Linked DNA regions of Rhinolophus ferrumequinum. The protein of the gene in region 2 binds, or shares a complex with, the protein of the main gene of each other region. Links are inferred from orthologs where the notes say so. Each region holds a gene or a part of one and is shown on either strand. Other genes may lie near its edges.

Region 1 (7,434 bases), on a different chromosome or scaffold from region 2:
TGGCTGTGCCCCCAGGACAGCTGGGCCGTCCCCCTTATCCTAATCTCAGAGGAGTTTGCTGGCCACTCACCACCACAGTGATGGAGCAAGGTTGGAGCACAAGGGAATGTTCACACATTTGTTTGAAAATCACAACAGAACTGGCTGCATGGCACCCAGGCCCCACCCCCGGTGCCGACAGACCCTGACCCTGACCCTGACCCAGCTCGGGACGTGGCCCTGCCCTCCCTATCCCCAGTACCAGTTTGTGGCCTGTGGGGATAGCCCCACGATACTCGGCGTGGACGCAGACATAATTGTCAGAGTAGATGCAGGGCAGGAACCAGGGAGGCCGCAGGTCGGCCGGCTGCACCTCCAGGACCAAAGTGGCGTTGTCCGTGTGGCTGGGCACCTCGTTCTCCTCCCGGGTGTCCTGCAATAGCCAAGCCCTGCCAATCAGCCCGGGAGCCAGGGCTGGGGTAGCGTGGGTGGGGGTCCGGGACTCAGAGTGGAGGTGGCCTGCTTACCCGCACCAGCAGCTGGAAGGTCATGTGCGGCCATTTGTCGAAGTCCAGTGGCCGATCCAGCCGCAGGGCAGGGCGGTTTGCACCCACCAAGGAGAAGAAGCTCTTGGCCCCCTGGGGAGGTGGAGGGCACATCCTGAGACCCTGGGAGGACGCCAGTGGTGGGGGGAGTTGGGGCTGGGGCAGGGAGACTGACCGGGGTCACTTCCTGGAGGGTGTAGAACAAGATGTTGTCTTTGTCGCGGTCCTGGGCCTCCAGGTCCTTCTCAGGGATGACCGTGGTGTGCACTTTAGTGTCCTGGGAGCCGCAGGGGGTGGTTCTGGCCATGGACCCAGCCCCATGGTCAAGCCCCCACTAGCCCTCTATGCCCCCAGTGCCGGCCCTGGCTCCCCTCACACTCACCTCCGGCACCCTCTCGACCTTGACCTCAAAGGGGAACACAGGGGGGTTGTCGTTGACGTCCAACACGGACACGAATACCCGCAGCTGGGTCACCTGGGGGTCCGGGGTGGAGGTCAGCCTTCTCCCCACAGGTCCCCCCCAGAGGGGCACCCTGGGGGACCCCGCTCATCCCAGGTGCTGGGCACATCACAAGGCCAAGCCCTCTGCTCTGAGGGGTTCCAGACAAAGAATAAAAAGCCATTTGTAAAGTGTGGAAGGTGACGAGTGCCCTGCAGAGAAGGAACGCGGGTGCTGGGTTGCCAGAGCCCCAAGGAAGGGACCAGAAGAGCAGTCAAATATCCCAAAACCTAAGTCTCAAAGGAAAAAGAGAACAGAAAGGGGACCCAAAGATTGAAAGAGACTTAAGAGAAATATCAACCAGTTGCCCAGGGTGACCCTGCTGCACCTGTGACAGAGCCTCTGACCAGATATCTCCAGGGTGTCCTGTGATGCCGAGTCCCTGCTTTTCTCAGGTGTGAACCAGTGGCGTGTGATGTGTAAGAAGGGTCCTTATCTTAGTGACTTTGAGATGTTTGTAGGCGGGGCACCCACAGGGCTCAGTGGCTCCCTGCAGAGCTGGCAGGTGCACGGGGCTTGGGACACTGTCCCTTGTTTGTGCCTTTGAAACTTCCCATCATAAAAGGTGAGTCAAGGTCAGGGGCTAAGGTGTGTGGGGTGAGGGGGTAGCATTGCGACTTAGAATAAGGTCAGGGGGTGACAACTGAGTGACAGACGAGGCACAACATCTCGCGAGTTCTGGGCAGGGCTCCACGGGCTGGCTCCTCTTGCCACACGGACAGTGGACTGGGGTGGGTGGGGCCGAGAGGGCAGCGAGTGGACCAGTTGGAAGGTTCCATAAAGGAGATGCTGGTAGCCAGCGCCTGAGTCAGGAGGCAGGAGGCCCAGCTTGAGGCCCAGCCAGCAGATATGCTGATACGAGGACGTGGGGCAGGCAGAGGACAGGACTGAGCTGGAGGGTGAGGCGCCTCCCCAGATGGGGTCTCGGGTTGGGGGTGTGATGTCCTATCAGGGTGGCTGGGTTTGCGAGTCTGCAGCTCAGGGCGGTCTGGGCTGGAGGAAGTGTGGGCATCACCAGCACAGGAGTGACACTTGAAAACACACCACTGGGTGAGGTCACTGGGGAGGAACCCTGGACAGGCAGAGCACAGAGGTCCAAGCACTCTGACGTCACAGGGTGAGGGAGGGGACGTGGGGGCCGCCCAGGAAGTAGAGAGCTGGGCTTGACTCACCACGGTGTCACCCCTTCTGCATTCCAGGTGTGCCTGCAGTATTGTGTTCTCCTGTGGGGGCGGAGAGGTGTCAGCGCACCTGTGCAGCTGGTCACAGCACACTGTTCTCATCCCTCAGGGGAGGGCACAGCGCCAGAGGGGCAGATACTCGCCCAAGGTCCCCGTCATCTTTGCTAAGTCCAGAGCGCACTGGGGACCCAGGCAGCTTTGTCCTCCAAGGGCCCTGGCCCCTCGCGTTTGCTTTCAACCAAGCCTTGGGGCCCAACAGGGGTTGGTCACTACCTGGGGGACAGAGAGCCTTCAGGACTCCCAAAAACCCTTCTCTGCATGGGTCCCACAGGGGTTGGCGGCCCCAGGCACCCCACCGGCCCACCCCTCCCTGGTCTGCCGTTTGTACCTCATAGTCAGGAGTCACATTGAGAAAGAGCTGGGTGCCCTCGATCCGAAATGCGAAGGGGGTGGATGAGGGTCCGAGGGTCACGCGCTGGCCCTCAGGGACATTGATGTCCACCAAGGGCCCACTAGGCTCCGTATTCTCCTGGACTTCAAAGAAGGTATTGTCCACAGAGCAAACTGGAAAGTAGAGAAGGGTCAGTGCCTTTCAACCCCTGCCTGCCGCCCGCCCCCCTCTCCCTCCGCGCGCCCCGGCCAAGCCCGCATGTACCCTGGGCCTGGGCTACGGCTGTGAGCAGCGGCAGCAGCAGGACCCAAGACCCCATCTTGGGGCCAGCGGGAGAGTCTAAGCCCGGCTGGCGACCGGGACCCTCTGAGTAGCCTGTGCTGGTGGCAGTCTCTGCCGGGACGACCTTTACCCCTGCCCGGCACCGCCCACTTTATGATCCTTTACGATTGGCCTCCACCTGGGGGGCTCCCGCGGGCCGAGCCCATGCCAGGCCTAGGAGGGGGAGGCCTTGTGGTTACCTGGCAGGAGCCGGGCCACATGCAGGTGCCAACGGGGGCTCAACCCACAGTCACGAAGACATGAGGTGGAAAGGAGCTCACAGAATGCTCAGGACACATGGGCCTGGGTGGGGTGGGGGGTGTGGGGGTGCCCGCGGGGGGCCGAAGAGAGGGGCTGAGCAAGAGCTGGGGGCAGGGGGCTAGGGACTCAGGGAATCTAGGATTGGGGGATTGAGGACAGGGAAGGGGCTGGCCTTTGGCTTCTGTCTGCTATGCTGTCCCCACCCCAGATGCCTCTGCTGGGTTCTTCCGCCAGAATGCTGTTGGGGCAAAGTCCTAGGCAGCCCCGTGGTTCGGACCTCAGGTTCCCCTCCAGTCCCGTCTCCTCTCCCACACTGACCATCTAAATCTGGAAGGAAAAGGCTGTATTCTGGGGACACACCTGCCTGTCCTGGAAATCAGCCAGCTCCCTCCTGGTGGGGCTGCGCAGGGGCACAGTGATGGAAATGGCAGCGCTTCAGGGGCACCTCGGGTCCCCGGGAGCTCTGGTGCCCGACAGCAGGCTGATTCTGGAGAGGCTCCCAGCGGCTAGGGAGAGGCCACTCGGTAAGTCCAGGAGGGAGGGAAGGGGCTGGGTGACAGTGGGGCGGCCCTTCTCCCCTTCAGATCCTTGCACCTGCTTCTTCTCCCTGTTCTCTCTGCTGGTGACAGCAATTCTGCCTGCCATGTGCCTAACCGGCCTCCTGCACCCCCAGCACTTCTTGGGGTGTCATTACTGTCCCTGCTCCACAGGCTCAGCATGGTTGAGCCGCTTGTCCAAGACCACAACCCTGGACAGAGAGCCCAGACGCCTGGCTTCCAGAGTGGACTCATAGCCTCCTGGTAACCCCCTACACACACAGCCCCACTGCCTGTCACCTCTTCCTGCCCAGCCTGAGCCTCGTCACCCCCCTTAAAATTCCCCCCACCTGCTCCACACACCTAGCACATGGCAGCTGGGGCAGGAACTGGGGAACGTCCTGAGCCGCCCCTCAGAGTCCCTGAATGTTTGCTGAGTGGATGACAAGGGGTGCGGGCGGGGCCCTGGGGAGTGCAGTCGATGGGACAGGAAGTGGCCCTGATGCCAGAGATAAGGAAAGGGGAAGGTGAGGCGCCCACTGTCTTCTCTGGTTTAAAGGGCAGCTGGGCGTGGCCCCTGCTGGGCTCCCGGGCAGGACCTCCTCCCCTGTGAGCTCTGCCCAGCAGGCTGTCTCCCAGCGCAGGCAGAGACGGTGCACACAGCGCGCTCGCCAGGCCAGGGTCTGAATTCCTTCTTTATTGGTGCCAAGTGCAACCCCCTCCTTCCCACCAACCCTGCCCCATCCAGGTTCGCGCCCCCGTCAGAAGAGGGGAGGTTCCTTCTTCCTCAGGACGTCATCTGGGTCTCAGCAGGGATGGCCGGCTCTGAAACCATGACCCCAGACTTGAGTCCAAGAGACAGCCGGGGAGACCAGGCCTGATTCAGGGGGTCCCTCAGGGCCATCATCCTGCAGAGACAGCTGGGTTAGGGGCTGTGGGCCTGAAGGTGGAGACCCCTGCCCACCTGGTGAACCGGCCTCCTTGGGTCACCAGCGCTAACTCTCCCCACCCCTGGCCCACTGCTGACACGGGGTGCCCCAGGGGACCAGAGGGACGGTCGGGGCGGAGCTCTGGTGAGGGGGGCGGGCTCACCAGGCCTGCAGGGCAGGAGAATGGGACCACAGCAGGCAGAGGGGGACCTCGGCAGGCTCGGTGGCAGACCCAGTCCAGGATGTGCTGTTCTCCGCGTCCTGCTCGCTGCCCCCCGCCCCAAATCAGAATTAGTCGTGGAATTGGGGGTGGAGACTGCTGCGTGAGGGACAGCCCCATGCGGGGCCTGCCCCTCAGGGGGGCCCCAGGCCCGACCTCACCTGCGCTTCCCGACCAGTCCCTGGAGCAGGCGCTGCAGCCGCGCGCTCTCCCGCAGACGGCTGAGCTCGCTCGTGAACGTCCCGTCCGAGTGTCGCGGGGCCCTGAGGAGGGGGTGACGGCGCCGCAGCGGATCAGGGCCAAGCAAGGGTGGGGCGGACGCAGGGCCGGTAGGCGGGCCCAAGGGGCTGTGTGGGCCCCGGGACCTTGGGCTCACCTGGGGGGCGCGGGGCGCCCGGCAGAGCCTTGGAGCAGCGGAGACAGCAGCAGCAGCAGTAGCAGGGCCCGGGGGGCCATGGTGGGCGCGCCGGGGTGTTAAGCGCTGCGGCCGCGGCCAGAGCTGCGCGCCACCCTTTATAGCGGCGCCCGGCGGGGGGCGGGGGGCGGGGGCGTCAGCACCGCCCTGGCTCCACGCAGCCCGGGCCGCTCCCCCATCGATCCGCGGGAAGGTCAGGGCCGCCCCCCCAGCTGTCAACCCGGCTGGTCGCCCGCCCCCAGCGCCGCGTCGGCGCCCCTCGGCGGGCTGGCGGGGCTCAGCCGGACGTGGACTTGCGGGCACGCGGGGGCCGGGGCGGGAGGAGGGACGTCCGGGCGGGGCGGTGGCGCGGATGCGCGGCGGGAACGTCTGTGCAGAGCCTGGGGCCGGGGGCCTCGGAGATGAGCTCAGGAGGGTCAAGGCTGGGACAGAGCGCGAGGCGACCCGAGGCCGCGGGCTCCTCTGGAGAGGCCCCGGCACACGGTGCGCGCGGCTGGGCAGGGGGCGGCGTCAGGGAAGGCCGAGCGCGGACCGGTGACCTCACTGCCACTCCCCGTGGGGGGGCGGCGCGGAGGGGAGCTGCAGGCAGGGCGCAGATCCGAGCCTGGGGGCCTCGCCATTTGTTTTTCGAGACGGGGGAGACCTGAGCCTGTTTCAGGGGCGGTAGGAGGTGGAGACGCGGAAAGGGGAGGAAAGGGGAGGCAGCTGGGTTCCTGCTGCGTAATCAATAAGGGATTAAGTAAAGCTAGGCTTCTTAAACTCCTGTGTGCATTAAATCCTTAAATAGAAATCACAAATCTAGTCAATGAAGTTATAAACTAGTTCTTGTGTTAAACTTTACGTGCATTTTAAATATAATTAGTAGACTTTTTTAGAGCAGTTTTAGGTTTACAGAAAAATTGAGCTGCAATAGTTCCCCCAGCACAAACACACCCAGCCTCCCCTCGTCCCAGCATCTTGCATTGGTGTTCTGCATTTGTTACAGTTGTTACAGTTGATGACCCGGTATTGATACATTGTTATTACCTAAGTCCATAATTGACATCAGGACTCACTGTTGGTGGTGTACATTCTGGGGGTTTGGACAGGATGTACAGTGACATGTACCCACAATCAATCTCACACAGATTAGTCCCACCGCCCTAAGAACCTCTGTGCTCCGTCTGTTCATCTCTCCTTCCTCCCCAACCTGTGACGACCACTGATCTTTACGGTCTCCATAGTTCTGCCTTTTCCAGAATGTCCTACCTCAGGAATCACACAGCATGTGGCTTTTTCAGGCTGGCTTCTTTCACTTAGTTTCCTCCATGTCCTCTCTGGCTTCAGAGCTCATTTCTCTTTAACACTGAATTCGATTCCATTGTCTGGATGTCCCACAGTTTATTCATCCATCACCTACTGAAGGACGTCCTGGTTGCTTCCAGATTTGGCAATTTGAGTAAGGCTGTTACAAACCTCTGTGTGCAGGTTTTAGTGGGGACGTGACTTTCAACTTATTTGGGTAAATACGAAGAAACACGATTGCTGGATCACATGATAAGAGTGTGTTTGGTTTTGTAAGAAACTGCCACCCTGTCCTCCAAAGTGGCTGCACCATCTGCACACACACCCCCCACCAGCCGTGGTGGGAATTCCTGTGGCCCCACGTCCTCCCAGCCAGCACTCAGTGTCACTGGGGCTCTGGGTTGTGGTCCGTCTGGTAGGTGTGCTGTGCTCCCTCGCTGATGATTCTTTGCATGTGTTTTTAAACAGATGGTGTGACTTGTTCTTGCACAAACTTGGCAAATTGAAATGTTCTAAACTTTAATACCATTGACTGATGAATTGCATTCATGAGAATGTTCCAAGCTCCAAATACTAATTTAATTGGTTGAATTTCTTAGCACCTCAAACACTTAAGTAACCAGGCAGATCTTCGTAAGAAAAATCTTCCCATTTAAAAAAGATTAACACGCAATAAAATGGGCTTTAAAAATTAACATACAGTAAAGTTAATATATAGTAAAATAATGAATTTTGACAGATGTACAGATCCGTGTAAACAGCACCATAATCGGGATACAGGACAACTCCATCACCGCAAACAACTCCCTCATGCTGCCCCTCTGTGGTCACATCACAGCCAGAGCGATGGGTCACACTGCATGTGGTCACAAG
Region 2 (7,294 bases):
GCACACCCAGTGGCCACCTTTGGACCCAGCTGGAGTCCAAAGGACAACACTTCCAAGGACAACACACTCAATGGGCACACTGGACAGGCACCACAGCCCTGCTAAGTGAATCCTGCTCCATAGTGTCAGTCCGTGCACAACAGCTCTTTTACTGTAGTCACAGCCTGTCCTCACAACCAATCAGCCTGAGGGTCAATCCCTCCCACTGATGAGAAAATAGCAACCAAAGCTCAACTACAACAGGAGGGCACACCCAACCACACAAGCAACACGTGGAGCACCCGGCTCAGGTGAACAGGGAGACTGTGCCACTGGGTCCCACAGCACACCTACTACATAAGGCCACTTTGCTAAGACTGGGAGCTATAACATCCCTACTTAATACATAGAAACAAACACAGGAAGGCAGCTAACATGGGGAGACAAGAAACATGTCCCAAATAGAAGAACAGAACAAAGCTCCAAAAAAAGAATGAAACAAAATGGAGACAACCAATCTACTAGAGTTCAAAACACTGGTTATAAGGATGCCCCGTGACCTCAGGGAGAACTCCAACAAAGAGATAGGAATCATAAAAATGGAAATAGAAAACATACAAAAAGAACCAATCAGAAATAGAGAATACAATAACTGAAATGAAGAATACATTACAAGGAACCAACAGTAGATCAGATGAAGCAGAGGACTAATTCTGCAATTTAGAAGGTAAGGTAGCAGACAACACCCAATCAGAACAGAAAAAAAAAATCGAAAAACATGAGCATAGTTTAAGGGGCCTCTGGGACAACATCAAGCGTACCATCATTCGCATTATAGGGGTACCAGAAGGAGAAAAGAGACAGCAAGGAATTGAAAACCTATTTGAAGAAATATCGATGGAAAACTTCCCTAACCTGGTGAAGGAAATTGATATATTAGCCCAGGAAGGGCAGAGAGTCCCAAACAAGATGAACTCAAAGACACACCAAGACACGTCATAATTAAAATGCCAAAGGTTAAAGACAAAGAAAGAATCCTAAAAGCAGCAAGAGAAAAGCAGTTAGTTACCTACAAGGAAACTCCTGTAAGACTCTCAGCTGATTCAACAGAAACTTTGCAGGCCAGAAGGGATTGGCAAGAAATACTCAAAAAGTGATGAAAAACAAGACTTGGGAACGGCAGGCAGAGGCTGTTACATGGTTGCTGGACTTACGGTGATCATTTCTTTAGAAATATAAATGTTGAATAGCTATAGCTTACACCTGAAACTAATATAATATTGCATGTTAGGTATATTTTAATACAAATCTTAAAAAATAATAAAACAAATGGCCCTGGATTAGAACCTTGCCTTCATTCCTAGCTTCACTTCTGCTATAAACTACTCCAATCCTTCCCTGGACATCGAGGTGCTGAGGGCCTGTTCTGGGCCATGCCCTGGGCGGGCGCAATGAAACCAGAGAGAGAGATCCTGAGGAGATCAGCTCGCACCTTCATGTGCTCAGAGCCCAGTGGCCTTCGGCAAAGCATTTTACCCTACTTCATCTCAGTGTCCTCCTCAATAAAAAACACACTGTTCTTTCTCCCCAAATGGCTTGTTATACGGACTGAGTGAGAAGGGAAGGAAGAGCCTTCATAAGAGATGAAAAGCATGGAGTTATGCAAATGCATCTAGGTACCTGGGAAATGTCTGTCCCTGCTGTCACTTCTCCCCAGAGTCCCCCCTCCCACAAGGGTGCAGCAGGGCCCAAGATGGACAAACAGGGAGTAGGTACTCCAGGAGGAGGCCCCGGGCCAGCCAGCAGGCATCCAGAGGGTCAAGAGATGGGAAAAGCCTCCTGCCGGAAGTGTGGGGAACTGAGTGGTCCATTGGGGGTGTGCTCCAGGTCCAGAGAGACCCACACAGCGTTTGGTTTTCTTCGAGTTCAGGAGTTTTATGGGTTAGAATAAAATTCAAGTCCAGAGTTACAGAATGGAACCTGAGGAAGAGGTCTAATTGTAGGGAACACACCCATTGAGGAGATTTGGGATGGGATCCCACAGCTGCCAGGAGCCTGACTTTGGCCAGTGCCTCCCAATGTCCGTGTCTCAGCTTTCCTCCTTGTGGACCAGGACGGATACCCACATGCTGACATCGGTGGCGGCAGCTCTGGGAGCCTGCAGTGGCAGCCTCCCCTCAGTCACCCCTTTCCCCAACAAGCAAAGCCCACCCAGAGGAGGCTTTGAGAACAGGAGGGCAGGGTCCTGCTTCACCCTGGGGCTCAGGCCTTCCTGGGGTGACGTGACTAAGTCAATCATAGCAATTGTCCAGGAAGGCATGCATGTGACTCAGAGAAGACTGGGCTTTAGGGTGGAGCCCCAGCTCTGCTCCTTCCTGTGGGCACCTCAATTTCCATGGCCCTCAGGCTCCTTGTCTGTGAAACGGAGGCAATAACACCACTGAGCTGCGAGTGTGCACATGTGGCTGCCGGCTTCTGCCAGGTGCCCGTCAGTGGTGTCTGCCAGGTGCCCGTCAATGGCACCGGGGCTAGCCTCCCGGCCCTGATCTGACCGCAAGGCCCTCCTGCCGAGGAGGCTGCTGGGCCTAGGGAAGCCCGGGCACCTGCCATCGCCCTCTGCCCTGAGTCTGTCTTCCTGCAGCAGAAGACCAGGACAGTTTCTCTGCCCTCCTCCTTGCTGTCAGGCTGGCCCTCAGCCTGAGGGGCCGAGACGCTGGCCTGGGGTTTTTGGTTTCCAGGCTCCTAAAGGGAATCTCCAGCTCTCTCCTTTGCAGGACTATCCCACCTTGTCTCCAGCTGAGCTCTGCAGCACTTCCCTGCATCTGCGTCTCCCAACCCTCCACTTGCCCAGCGACCCTCCTCCAGAGAGGTGACCCACTCCTTCTGTCTTCCTACTTGTCAGGAGGTGGGCCTGTAGGCCTGGTGCATCTGACAGGCAGAGAAGGCCCCAGGCACTCCCTTACCTTGTCAGTACTGGGGTCTGGCTGACTCGCTTCTCCACTCCCCTAGGCACTGCAAAAGAGCAGGACGTGAGGCAAGGCCAGGGCTCAGGGTACGTGGGGGAGTAAGGGAGGGAAGGGAGAGGCGGAAGGGCCCCAGGAGGAAATGGCCGAGGAGCACGGGGACAAACGTAATTTATTACAGGACTTTGTCCTTGGGCTCCGGGAACATCCACTCCCAGGAGTCCCCTGCAGCCCCAGCCAGCAGAGACTCACAGAGCTCTGATCTTTAACCCTGGCCTCTTCGGCAGACTCCCCCAACGCCATCAGAGTTTGCTCACATATCTGCTGCTGCTGGCATCAGCAAAGTCCCTGGTGACAATCAGCAAATCATCCAGGGAGCTCAGCATTTTCCTAGGTGTCATGAGGACTGTAAGGAAGCCACCAGAAGAAGCTCTGCTCTCAAGCCCCCATGTCCTCACTTGAGGCACACACGCAGGAGACGTCTGGGGAAGTCAGGATGCTTTATCACAGAGCTAGAGACTACCTGGCAATGGGGTTCCCAGTGGGGTCCCTGGGAGCAGGGGTGCCAGCTTGCCCTGAGACTTGAGTGAAGGGGACATTTTCGCTGTGAGGCACATACAAGCCCTTCTGAGGGAAAGGGTGTTGAGCAATGTGCCCTGAGAGAGGCCAGACTTCAGGGTACAGGTAGTCGCTGCAAATGTGACTGCATGGGCTGTGAAGACACCTGCTTGCTGCAGCCCTTTTCTTGGGGAAGAGAGGCCTCAGCGGTCCTGCAGATGGCCAAGCAGGTTCCTTCCCTTTCCCAGGACATGGGAGAGACTTGAGAACTGCAGGCAGAGGTGCGGGATCTAGCTTTTGTTTTTAGATAGAGTTGAGGCCACAGCAAGGTGGCACCCCTGACCTTAGGCCTCTTTTTGGGACAGCAACTAAGCGCTAGTGGGAGAGAGAGAAGAACCACAGAGGGGGAGCCCTGGAGAGAGCCAGAGGCCTATGCCTGCTGGGGGTGGGTGAGGAGGGGCTCTGTGGCATTGCCAGCTTCCTTCTGCTCGTTTTGTTGAGACAGGTGAAGAAGTTTCAGTTTCTTACAAGCAACCAGCCATGACAAAGAAGAGAAGTAGTTGGGAGCTGACTTAATGAAGGGCAATGCATTTGAAAGGAGCTGTGCCCCGAGCCTTTCCTCCAGCCCTATCTGCTCCCCACCAGGAGCACTGTGCTCAAGTTCCACTCCGGCTCCAACTAGCCTCCTAACCCCTAACATCCCACCAGTTCCTGGGCCAATATTTGCTTTTTGGGGCTTCACATAGCACGTGGCTTCTCTGGTTTAGAAAGATGCCATTTCACGCCCATGGGATTGGCACTGATGCTCCTGACAGCTATAGAAATGGTGAGCCCCTTACCCTGAGACTTTGGGTACCAGCTGGGTCCTCTACAGCCCTCTGCCACTGCTCCTGTGGAGGGCGGGGCGGGGGGGGGAAGAGTGGGACAGCATATCTGTGTGGAACAAGCGATGTATAACAGGTCTCTCTCCAGAGCTTGTCTTAGGCAAAATTTAATAGAAACACATTTCAGATATCTAGAGTCTCCTGCTTCTTTTTACATCTGACATTATATCATAAAGAATCTTCTTACACTGTACTGAACTTTAACCGCCGTCTCTAAAGAAAGTGCGATAGCCCCTCCAACAAGCACTCCTTCACTTGTGTGACTATCTGTGGATATCATGAGGCATCCAACCCTTTGTCACATACAACACATGTCACACACAACACGGCAGTGAACAATGTGTGCTCACAGCTTTGTTTGCACTACATCATTACAGCAATATTCGAGAGGGGAACTTACTGAAACAAGGGCAGGAACATTTTGTTGCCAACCCTTCCTAAGTGGTACATTAAGTCCTTCCTCCCAGCAAAAGGTGCACATGTAATTGCAAGGACCTGAGCTGGCAGTGGCTCAGAGGGGGACCCCTGGAGGGGCAGTTCTCCTGGAGTCCAAGAGAGGCTGAGGTTCCCCAAGCCATGAAAACCAAGAAGAGGGGCTAGGGGCAGGCAGCATAGGCTCCTCCCTGTCACCACTGTGACCAAACGTGGCTCTCCCACAGCCTAATGCTACCTCCACAATTTTCCTCCAGATGTGAATATTCTGCTAACCTTTAAAAATATGTTTCTGAACGCAAACAAAATGCCTCCATGGAACAACATATGTTTCATTCCACTTTTGTCCAACGATGGAGCCCATTTTGGCATTGTCATAGCAACTGAAACAGAGCATAGCGAGCATTTCCTTTGAGCTCTGAATTCATAGAGCAACCTGAATTTCCTTGCTTCCTAGTGGCCCTTATCTTCCCATCTAGCCTACAGCTGCCAAGTTACCCATTAACACTATAAAATAGCACAGCTGCCAGCATGGATCTCTTTCACTGAGCTACTATTTACAGAATTTTAGAATTCTCAGTTTCAAACAGGACTAGGATTTAATGAGTGCCTTCAACGTGCTGGGCTCTTTGTACGTGCCATCTCATTCAACCCTCATCAAAATCCTACAAATGAGGGGTGTTATCCTCATTTCACAGTAAGAAGTAAAAACCAAAGAGGTTACGACACTTGCTTAGGTCACACAGCTAAAAGTGGGGGGCAATATTTAACTCAAGGTCCATCAGTCCCCACGGCCGGTGATCATTGCGCTGTGTTGCGCTGTGTTGCACCAACCCTCAACGCAACTGGACCCCATCCCCCCACACCTAACATCCTAACGTTAGAGATTTTCAGGGGAGATGCTTCCCCAACTTGCTCACCCCAGCCCAGGGTCTGAAAGCCCTTTCCCTTCCATTTCCGTGGTCTTCAGTGTGAAGGCAGAGGGGTATCTGGAAAGAAGCAGGGCTTCTCAGTCTTGGCACTGTTGATATTTTGGACTAGTTTATTGTTTGCTGAGGGGTTGGGAGGAGTTGTCCTGTTCATCATAGGATGTTTAGCAGCACCCACAGCCTCTACCTACTCAATGTACTCCCCCAGTACTGCAATCAAAATGTCTCCAAATATTGCCAGATGTCTCCTGGGAGATAAGATGACCCCAGGCTGAGAACCAATGTACACCTCACAGGTCCAGGTGTAACTGAGGCTGGAGGAAGAGGAAGCCAGCAAGGGCCAAAAAGGGATGTCCTCCTTTGCCTCCTTGAATGGCAGGAAGATATGGCTTCGAAGATATGGAAGGTGCAGGGAAGGGGCTATTGGACTAGTACTTCCAGATGGTCTTGGTTCTGACACACCGAGGAAAGGACCATGCCATTCCAGCCCGGTACTTCATCCCCCAGAGCAGCTACTGTGCCATAGTCATCGTCAGCCTGGGTGGAGCTTGGCTCCAAAGTCCTGACGGGTCAGGAAGGCCATCTAAGTCCAGCAGAAAATGACTCATTTCTGATTGTGCTTTATCACCATAACCCCTCTGAGAAACCCACCCAGAGGTTTGTCCAAGACAGCAGGAGGGGCAAAGTCACTTTGTCCTCTCTGAAGAGCTATGGGCAATCACTGAATACCCCTCAGCCTTGGGCCCTAGCACTGAAACCTAGACCCTAGTCATAAACAGGGCCTCTGCCCATGAGCAGGGCCCATGGCTTCCTGGTGACTAATCTGATTGTCCTGGTGACACTGAGGTAGTGGGAGGGGAAAGCAAAACTTGATTCTGTGACAAATTCAGCAAACCAGGTAGAAGATGCTGAAGGTTCTGATTGTAATGGTGATAATGGTACTCTCTTAGTGCTTCGGAGAGGTTGAGGGTGAAAGTGCACTGCTAAGAGCTTCATTTCTGGGAACAGAAGCATTCGGATGGGTTTCTTACCCCTGGCTGGAATGCTCTGTGTGCACCAAGATCAGTTTCCTGTTCTTCTTGGTCCCACAGCTGGGGCATTCTTTCCGGCCTCATTTATAATCAGGAGTGGCCATGGAATGAGGGTGTGGGGTCCAGAACGAGTCACCCGAAGATGTGCCTCTGTAATGTGCACATTGTTTTGAGCTGCAGGCTCAAGAGAAACTTCTGCAAACCCCACCCCCCTTAACTACCTGGAAGAATTTGAATTAGAGGCCTTGCCCATAAGAGAGTATCAGAGGCAATTTCTTTTGACCTGTCTACAAGGCAGGGCACACTTCTATTTACTAAAGGTCTGCTCTTGTCATCATGCATGACCTTGGAAGCCCCCAAGGCACCTTACCTCATCCCTAGCTCAGGATGTCTTCTATACCTCAATCTGCCTTTCTTTCTCTGAACCTCTCCTGCCTATAGCGTCTCTGATTCTATCATGTATGCAGGGTTCCCATACATATGTATGTATTAAATTTGGTTATTTTCTCCTGCTAATC

What was found.
Region 1: MYO7B (region 2) and CDHR5 share a complex: the UniProt entries of both Homo sapiens proteins name them as parts of the IMAC/intermicrovillar adhesion complex. The link is inferred for Rhinolophus ferrumequinum from reciprocal best matches to the Homo sapiens genes MYO7B and CDHR5.

Annotation. Positions count from the first base shown.
Region 1 is NC_046294.1:368,649-376,082, forward strand, and holds the start of CDHR5 (cadherin-related family member 5), read right to left. Parts: upstream 3,012-7,434; 5' UTR 2,915-3,011; coding exon 2,860-2,914; intron 2,769-2,859; coding exon 2,593-2,768; intron 2,247-2,592; coding exon 2,196-2,246; intron 1,000-2,195; coding exon 907-999; intron 802-906; coding exon 700-801; intron 618-699; coding exon 507-617; intron 413-506; coding exon 242-412; intron 1-241. Other genes in the region: SCT (secretin), read right to left, coding at 4,501-4,621, 4,806-4,910, 5,024-5,125, 5,239-5,318. UniProt on the Homo sapiens protein: Intermicrovillar adhesion molecule that forms, via its extracellular domain, calcium-dependent heterophilic complexes with CDHR2 on adjacent microvilli. Thereby, controls the packing of microvilli at the apical membrane of epithelial cells.
Region 2 is NW_022680440.1:608,130-615,423, reverse strand, and holds the start of MYO7B (unconventional myosin-VIIb), read right to left. Parts: upstream 3,090-7,294; 5' UTR 2,943-3,089; intron 1-2,942. UniProt on the Homo sapiens protein: Myosins are actin-based motor molecules with ATPase activity. Their highly divergent tails are presumed to bind to membranous compartments, which would be moved relative to actin filaments.